Linked DNA regions of Nothobranchius furzeri. The protein of the gene in region 1 binds, or shares a complex with, the protein of each later gene. Links are inferred from orthologs where the notes say so. Each region holds a gene or a part of one and is shown on either strand. Other genes may lie near its edges.

Region 1 (3,284 bases):
ACAAAACCAGTTTTTAACAGACAAGCTTTTATTCTTGTGAGTAATGTACATGTTCCAAATATAACAAGTATGTGGTGAGAAATTGTGCTTAAAAATGAGGGACTGTGCAAGTATCTGCTTGTTCGAGAGTTTATGGGGATTTTGGGAGTCTCATAATTACAAATCAAAATATTTTTCAGACCACCTAATTTGGAGAAAATGTAAGAGGGGATAATGTTTCAATCTGGAGACAACAGATTACCTGTTCTACGAATGTGACGCTGTCTTACAGTTGTGAAAATCTCCACGAGTCAATGTCCTCCATTTTTAGTAATGTTGCCTTTTGGTCCTCTCAGAATATTCAATTTGGTGTAAGTTTATGAAATAAAAATACAGAATTGTTGGTTAACAATCTTATTATATACACAAAATATGATATACATACATTATGCTAAGTCTGCCCCCTCATGGGTTGCTCTTAAAAAGGATTTCTCCTTATTGCAAAAATCTTTGAAACTGTTGGAAAGCCCCTTTGCTGCTAGACTGCATACCTTCTTGATCAGCTTAATTTTTCTTAAATTTATTGAATCACTTTTGCATAAGAAAATAGATCCTCTTTGAGATTGGTTTAGATTTACTTTTTCTTCTATTTTGTTCCCCTTCTGTTCCTTTTATTACTTTTTGTATAATTGATTAATATAGCTGACACACTAAGGTCCTCTTTTATTTAATTTTTTTATAACTTGTAACCGAATTGATTAAAGCTGTTTTATTTTTTATAGGAAACCTTCCTTTTCCAAACAAAGTCCAGTAGCATTCTTTCAATATTTTTAAGAGCGTTATCCACGTGTCATCCAGCATCATCTTGCCAAGTTTGACTCTCGCGAGATGTGAACCAATGGGTGTCAGATCCATGAGAGTAGAGCGGCGCATCCGGGAGTTCCGGGGACTGAACCCAGGTCTGTCTCCGCGTCCTGCTCTCTCAGCGGTTCAAGCAAAGCTCGTAACTAGTAACTGAAGCTCGACCAGCCAAATGAGCCCACATTCAGCGGTGTGCGAAGGATGAATCATGGGACAGCGTTACTGTGGAAACGACGGTAACCTCTTTTGTTAACCTAGCATGGTTAAAACAGCTAGAAAGAAACAGCTAGTTGAAAAAGCGGCGGCTGGTGGTTAGTGCGTTTATTTAATTTAGGATAAATATATTTTTTTCTGCCTGGTATTTCGCCTAGTTGGTGGTTCAGTGATTATATGACGCTAACGGCTAACGGTGTAGCTGATGCAACGTTGGGAGTTTTTACCTCCCGGTTCGTCGTTACACAATTGGCTCAATCAAAGCTCATTAATCTGATCCTGCGGTTTTCTGAGCGGGGAGAACAACACGCTCGAACATGATGATGCTCCAGGACGGTTCGACCCAGCTCATCTGCCTCACCGCCAGCAGCGGGGTTCCTCTTTTCACTAGAGGGGCCTCCAGACAGCTGCCTTTCTCTGTCATCGGCTCCTTGAACGGCGTTCACATGTTCGGGGGAGGACAGGGAGTGGTGTTGTCCAGCTGCGACACGGACGGTGGAGGGAAGGTGGTGTGGAGAGTTTTCCTCGACAGCGTGATGCTCATCGCTGTGAGTGGAGGTGGACCGAGTGGGTCATGCGGCACAGAGGAGGAGACCCGCCTGCAGCGCCTCCTAGAAAACGTTTGGAGCTGCATGGTGCTGGTGTTGGGGCAGGATGAGCTGACTAATGTCAGGAATGTAGAAAGACTGAAGAGGGATTTGAGGTCCTGCTTCAGCCTGATTGATCAGCTGCTTGAAGAGAAACAAGGTTATCTTGGAAACCTTACACACTGTGCTGATTCATTACTACCTTCAAGCTCCATTCTTCTCCAAGAGGCGGTGGATGGGTTTGCTCAGGCTGCTGACAGTGAGTTTGGTTGCCTGGTGGTCCACGGGCGGATTGCTACAGCGACTGAAGAGTGGTGGCGGCAGCTGGTGCCACAGGAAATCGTGCTGCTTTCTGCTCTGATTCGTACCTTATCTGCATCTGGATCAGCCTCATGTGATTACCCAGTTTTTCTCCCTCAGTTTAGCCCCACCGTCGCCCACCGCTTGCTCCGCTTCCAGCTACTCCCAGGAGCAGACGTGTGTGTGCTGTGTGGTTCCACGCCATCCCTTCACAAAGCTGGAACTGAGCTGGTGGGTCGTTTCTGGTCACCCCTGGTAGAAACCCTGAGAAATTGCCTGGCTCTTGGAGACCGCTGCTTACCCGGATCCATATCGCTGAGGCCTGACGTACTGGCTCTTCTGCTCATCAACCGTGAAACTCGTCGTTCAGTCTCATGTTTGCAGAATTCATCCCATCACCCCCCTATACTCTCCAAAGCTCGCTGCTGGGAGCTGCTGAAACTCTTCTATACATTCAGCATTTCACGCTACTTCACCCAGGAGGAGAGGACTCAGAGAGACATCACAGAAGACTTTCTCCTTGGATTCTCCCACCAGCCCCAACAGTGTTATTTAGTTACAGAAGAATGCAAATGCTATGCATTGCAGACACCACAGCACCAGCTCTATCTTCTCGTGATGCCATCTGTGCCCACCTTTGCACTGGGCACATTGGCTACACAGACTCTCTCTGATATTGTTGCACCCACAGGTTTTTAATACATATCCATTGCAACTTTTCAATCTCATGTTGGTCACTTGAAATGTGAATTTATGTTATAGTCTTACAAAAATAATCACACAAAAAGGGGATCCAATAGAAAAAAATGCTATTTTTCCTCTGAGTATATAGAAACTCAATTATTAACTTTTTCTAAAATATTTTTTACGTAGCTGCTTACAGTTGTAGAGCAGACATTAGAACAAATGCTTTTTTTTTTAGAATTAAGATTGTTGCACATTTGTGTTGAGCCTCTAAGCTGCTTCTGTTGTATGAATAAAAGCTGGTCACACTTGCCTGCAAATTAATAATGTGTCACACTAGATAAAAAAATTAATTAATGTTTTTTATTCTTTTTTGTTTAAGTAATCTCTTTTCTTTATAACATTATTATTATGATCTTGTTATTATATAATTGTCTTGCTACATGTTTCTTCATAAGCATGCATGAAACAAATGAGTCCATCATGCATCAGGAAGACATGACGAAAGTTTCAGCATGCCGTTTGACTCCTACATGCGTGAGAATGAGGAAACAGTTTAGCAGAAGCCATGCAACATTTTTCTCAGCTGCATTATTTAAAAAAGCTGTTCACAATTTAAAGTTATGGACCAAATATTTATAAATTCAACACATTTATGCA
Region 2 (4,144 bases), on another chromosome or scaffold:
ATTAAATATCTATAATGTGTGTCATATTCCAGCGTATCTTAGAGACCAAATTACACACACACACAAACACCCACACAGTCTCCAAGTGGTCTGATAAAGACTCATATGCGGACGGTTGTGACACAGGGGAGGAAGGTTTTTGGTGATTAAAGACAGAGAAATGCTGACCTTAGTCTGCATGGAGGAGGGTCAAAGGAATTGCTCTGAAGATTCAGGATGTTCACCTCTGCCTGGGACCGAAGAACACAAGTTTACAGGTCAGCCCAATAAAAACTGGGGAAAAAGTTGTTTTCTTGTTTTAAATAGTGATGCATTAAATATTTTACCTGGTTACAAACAGCAAAATTTAATATTTTATACTATCATTAACTGTTTCAGGTCACTCATCCCCGACAGGAAAGATACAGGTCATTGGTGACATCTTCCAGTTCACTTTGGATGTGAGTGAATTTTCTCCAGAGGAAGTTATTGTCATAACCTCTAATAATCTACTAGAGGTCCAGGCTGATAAGGTGAATCATGAATTGCAGAAATTGTCATGACACATATTATGGAGATATAAAAAACATGACATATTTATATGAAATATGTTTTCTATTGTTTCCCCTCTTTATCTGTACAGTAACAGTTATTCAAGAACATTTATACTGATGTTTTGAATGCAGGTGGGTGAAGGTGGCACAGTCACCAAAGCACTTTCACACAAATGCAAACTGCCATCAAATGTGGACCCCTTCTCTGTGAGCACGTCCATGAGCAGCAGTGGGGTTCTGATTGTGAAAGCTCAAAAGGTAACTTATCGCCGCTTTTCACTGACTTTTACACGAAGTATGCATTTTCTCTAATTCATTGTTGCTCTGTCTACAGATGTGACCTCAGAGTTTGGAGAAAAGCAGTGGACTTTGTCGGCCTCAAGCGGTGGATAAATGAACTTCTGGATGCAACGTTCATGGAACATTTACGAAAAACTCGAAATTCTCAGCTAAAACACTAACTGTACTTAAAAATGTCAAAAACCGCAAGCAATAATTAAATTGATCTACTTTTATTATTGTGCTGGATAAAATTTGAGAATTAAATGTACCCTTTCCAAATGTGCTTAAATAAAGAAATCTAATTAAACATTTTTAGAAAATTTGACAAGATTTTGCTGTTAACTTTTTTGAAAATATAAAAAATGTCGGTTACAGTGAATTCATATTTTTACATACTTTGTAAATGTTTTAGTAATAGAATTTCTGATGTAAGTTTTTTAAATTTGTTCCAAAAAGTACACGAGGGTGGTACGATTTATATTTAGTCATGGCGATTTCGACAGCCTGTGAATACAACCTTTGAAAAGTGGCGGAAGTGACGTACTAGTTGTCAAGGCACGGTTTTTAGTTTACGGAAAAATAGCTTAATTGCTACTTGTTTTAGCAAAACACTGCGGTTTTTGTTGACTTACTTTTCATTGTGACGCGAATGTTCATTATATTTAGCTTTAGAAGACAGTATAGACAGTTTTCTTAACTTCAACGAGCCGCTGGCTGCTTTGTTTATAAAGTTTTGTGATGTTAGCATGTTTGATGTTAGCATCATGGCACAAGTTCCCCAACCAGGATCGGTTATTGTCTCTGATTGGCACCGATGTAAAGAAAGCAAAGAATATTTCAACAAAATTCTACACAAGACGAAACGAAAGAACTTTGGTAATGCCTATCTAACTTTCCTTTTAGTTTCTTTAAAAAACGCGACGCTATTTATTGTGGCTGAAAGCTAAAATTTGGTTTGTAAATAATAAAAACAGAGTAAATAAATGTTTAATGCAACATGATGCAGTTCTGACAGATACCTGCATAATAGTTTTAGTTTGGATTGTCAGGAAATGGAAAGTTGAAAAAATGAATTGTTTATTTTCTCACACAACGTGGGTTTATAAACCAAAGCAAGGTGATTTGTACATGAAATGATATCATGCAGCAGAGATCCAGGCATGGTGGTTTCAAATATAAGTGTCAGTTATTACTATCAATCATTAGTCATTTATTTTTCTATTTTTTTCTCCTAATTGCTGATTTTTTTCCCCAAATTTGACTTACCCTCTTCCAGATTAAAACAATATAAATATTAGACGCCTTAAAGATTCAGAATGACATTTGGGAGCAATTGATTATACCTCAGATTTCTTTAAAATGTTCCCATGATAAATTAAATTTGTATGAAAAGCAGGTCGTCAGACCTATAAAAAATTGTTAAACGTAAATTTTTACTTTAAAGAAAAAAGCATATTTAGTCAAAATGAAATCATGGTTGGATTATGTGTTTAAGGTAGATTATCAATTCAAACACAAAAAGTAAACAGATCTAGAAAGTTGGTGTGTTTGTCATTTAATCAAAATGAAAAGCATTTTCATCTTAAAGAAAAGGAACAAATCTGCATTTTTATTTAACTATTTCTCTGATCTGATTTCTCAAAACACAACAGGCTAAAAGGAGTTGATCATTGTCTAATTGTTTGCTTAGTATGAAGCTTTCTGGTTAAATTATATGAAACTGTGAGATATATTAGAGGGAAAAGAAAATAAGATAAATCATTAAAAATGTTGTACAGGTCTGCTGGAGTCTCCGGTGATGGCTCCACACGTAGCTGTGGACACATTTCCTTATAAGATCTTCATTTCCGGTAAGAGTGGAGTTGGAAAAACTGCGTTTGCTGCACGTCTCGCTGGCCTGAGCATTCCTAACGTGCACCATGAAACCACAGGTAGGTTCAACCACCAGCTGAGGTAATTTTAATGGAATCAGTTATCTGATGTTTTGTGTGTTCAAGGTATCGAGACGACGGTGGTGTATTGGCCAGTGAAGCTGAGAGAAAACGGCAGGGTGCTTTTTTTCCGTCTGCAGTTTTGGGACTGTGGAGAGAACGCCTTACGCAGATTTGATCATCTGCTTCCAGTAAGTGAAGTTATAAACACTGTTGCTGTTTTTGTATAGTTCCATAGAAAGCCCCTTTCTTGTCTAGCTGACCTCCATCCCTGTTTTTGTAGGGGTCATAATCCCACTGGTACACTGCAAAAATGACTGATTCAGTAGGTTTAACTTGGTTTATATAACTTGATCTTAGAAAAATGGTACAACACCATGACCCATGAAGTCTTCCCATACTTTAGTTTTCATAACCAAAATCTGCCCACTTGACATGGCTCATTTTTATTGGATCAGTACAAGATAATGTGTATGACATGACAGCATGTCATATCCTAAACTATATGTAAAGTTGTGAATATCAAACTCCAACCTCATAAAAGGAAATTTTAATCTCCACTTGGCTGCCGCACTAGTCGTGACCCAGTTCAGCATTCTAAAATTACACTAACATTTCCCCCCTTTTTTGCAGTCTTGTAAGGAGCAGGTGGACGCGGTCCTGTTCCTTTTTTCCTTCACCGACAGGACATCCTTTGATGATTTATCAAGTCAGATCTCTAAATGGAATGAGCCATCTTTTGGTCGTGTTGTCAAAGTGGTGATTGGCACCAAGTATCCTTTGCATTTAAAATGTCTAGACATTTGAAAATCAGTATTTTGCATCTAAGAGACAAAACCAAACCTTTAAGGTTACTTGGTTTTTTGTTCCTTAATGCTTCCCTTAGATTTGACCTTTTCATGCACTGTGACGTGGCAGAGAGGGACGTCGGGAAGTTTGAGGAGACGTGGAGGTTACCGGTGCTGTGTACGGGCGGTGGAGAGGCCGGCACTGGGCTGTGTGATGTAGCGCCCATCCTGAACTGCCTGGCAGAGAACTTGTGGCATCAGGACTGCATTACATCTGGAGCAGCCCATCAGGAGCTGGAGTCAGAGAACGCGACTCTGCTTTAAGTGTTTGTCATGTTATAAAGCTGTGACGTGATTCAAGTGGCAAATAGAGCAGACAAAGATTCTGTATTTACAGACTGGGGGGGGGGGGGGGGGGATTAAACACGTTTCAGTCACTTAGGAAGGTTCTACTGAAACATGTTTCATATCCAGCTGGCTGCAGGGATCATCAGTTTTTCTTTCAGAAGGCGGACATAAACTGTTTATCATAAGTGTGGGGGTGCTTTGTCTCCTGTGCGCTAATGCAACAGCACCGACAATTGTAATTTGATGGCCGGGAAAAAGCTCC

The links. The genes of interacting proteins can lie anywhere in the genome.
Region 2: the proteins of fuz (region 1) and cplane2 are in contact, whole or in part, in a cryo-EM structure (PDB 7Q3E), measured with the Mus musculus proteins. The link is inferred for Nothobranchius furzeri from reciprocal best matches to the Homo sapiens genes FUZ and CPLANE2. Residues at the interface, in NP_081652.2 of Mus musculus: Arg26, Arg35, Ile109, Val110, Lys126, Glu127, Arg129, Ala130, Tyr132, Cys133, Asp136, Gln215, Ala216, Ala217, Arg218, Asp219, Tyr220, Pro221, Tyr223, Pro232, Leu238, Thr239, Leu240, Leu241, Arg242, Pro255, Leu256, Gly257, Gln258, Pro261; in NP_001074643.1 of Mus musculus: Glu36, Gly38, Leu39, Leu40, Glu41, Arg42, Val83, His84, His85, Glu86, Thr88, Gly89, Ile90, Gln91, Thr92, Thr93, Val94, Lys124, Phe125, Met128, Glu134.

Annotation. Positions count from the first base shown.
Region 1 is NC_091751.1:48,625,616-48,628,899, forward strand, and holds fuz (protein fuzzy homolog), read left to right. Parts: upstream 1-1,223; 5' UTR 1,224-1,370; coding exon 1,371-2,639; 3' UTR 2,640-2,784; downstream 2,785-3,284. UniProt on the Homo sapiens protein: Probable planar cell polarity effector involved in cilium biogenesis. May regulate protein and membrane transport to the cilium.
Region 2 is NC_091743.1:65,229,379-65,233,522, forward strand, and holds cplane2 (ciliogenesis and planar polarity effector 2), read left to right. Parts: upstream 1-1,344; 5' UTR 1,345-1,561; coding exon 1,562-1,691; intron 1,692-2,593; coding exon 2,594-2,746; intron 2,747-2,812; coding exon 2,813-2,937; intron 2,938-3,379; coding exon 3,380-3,519; intron 3,520-3,632; coding exon 3,633-3,858; 3' UTR 3,859-3,946; downstream 3,947-4,144. Other genes in the region: heat shock protein beta-7, read left to right, coding at 161-257, 379-512, 666-791, 868-873. UniProt on the Homo sapiens protein: Required for efficient primary cilia initiation, regulating a late step in cilia initiation. Plays a role in the final maturation of the mother centriole and ciliary vesicle that allows extension of the ciliary axoneme.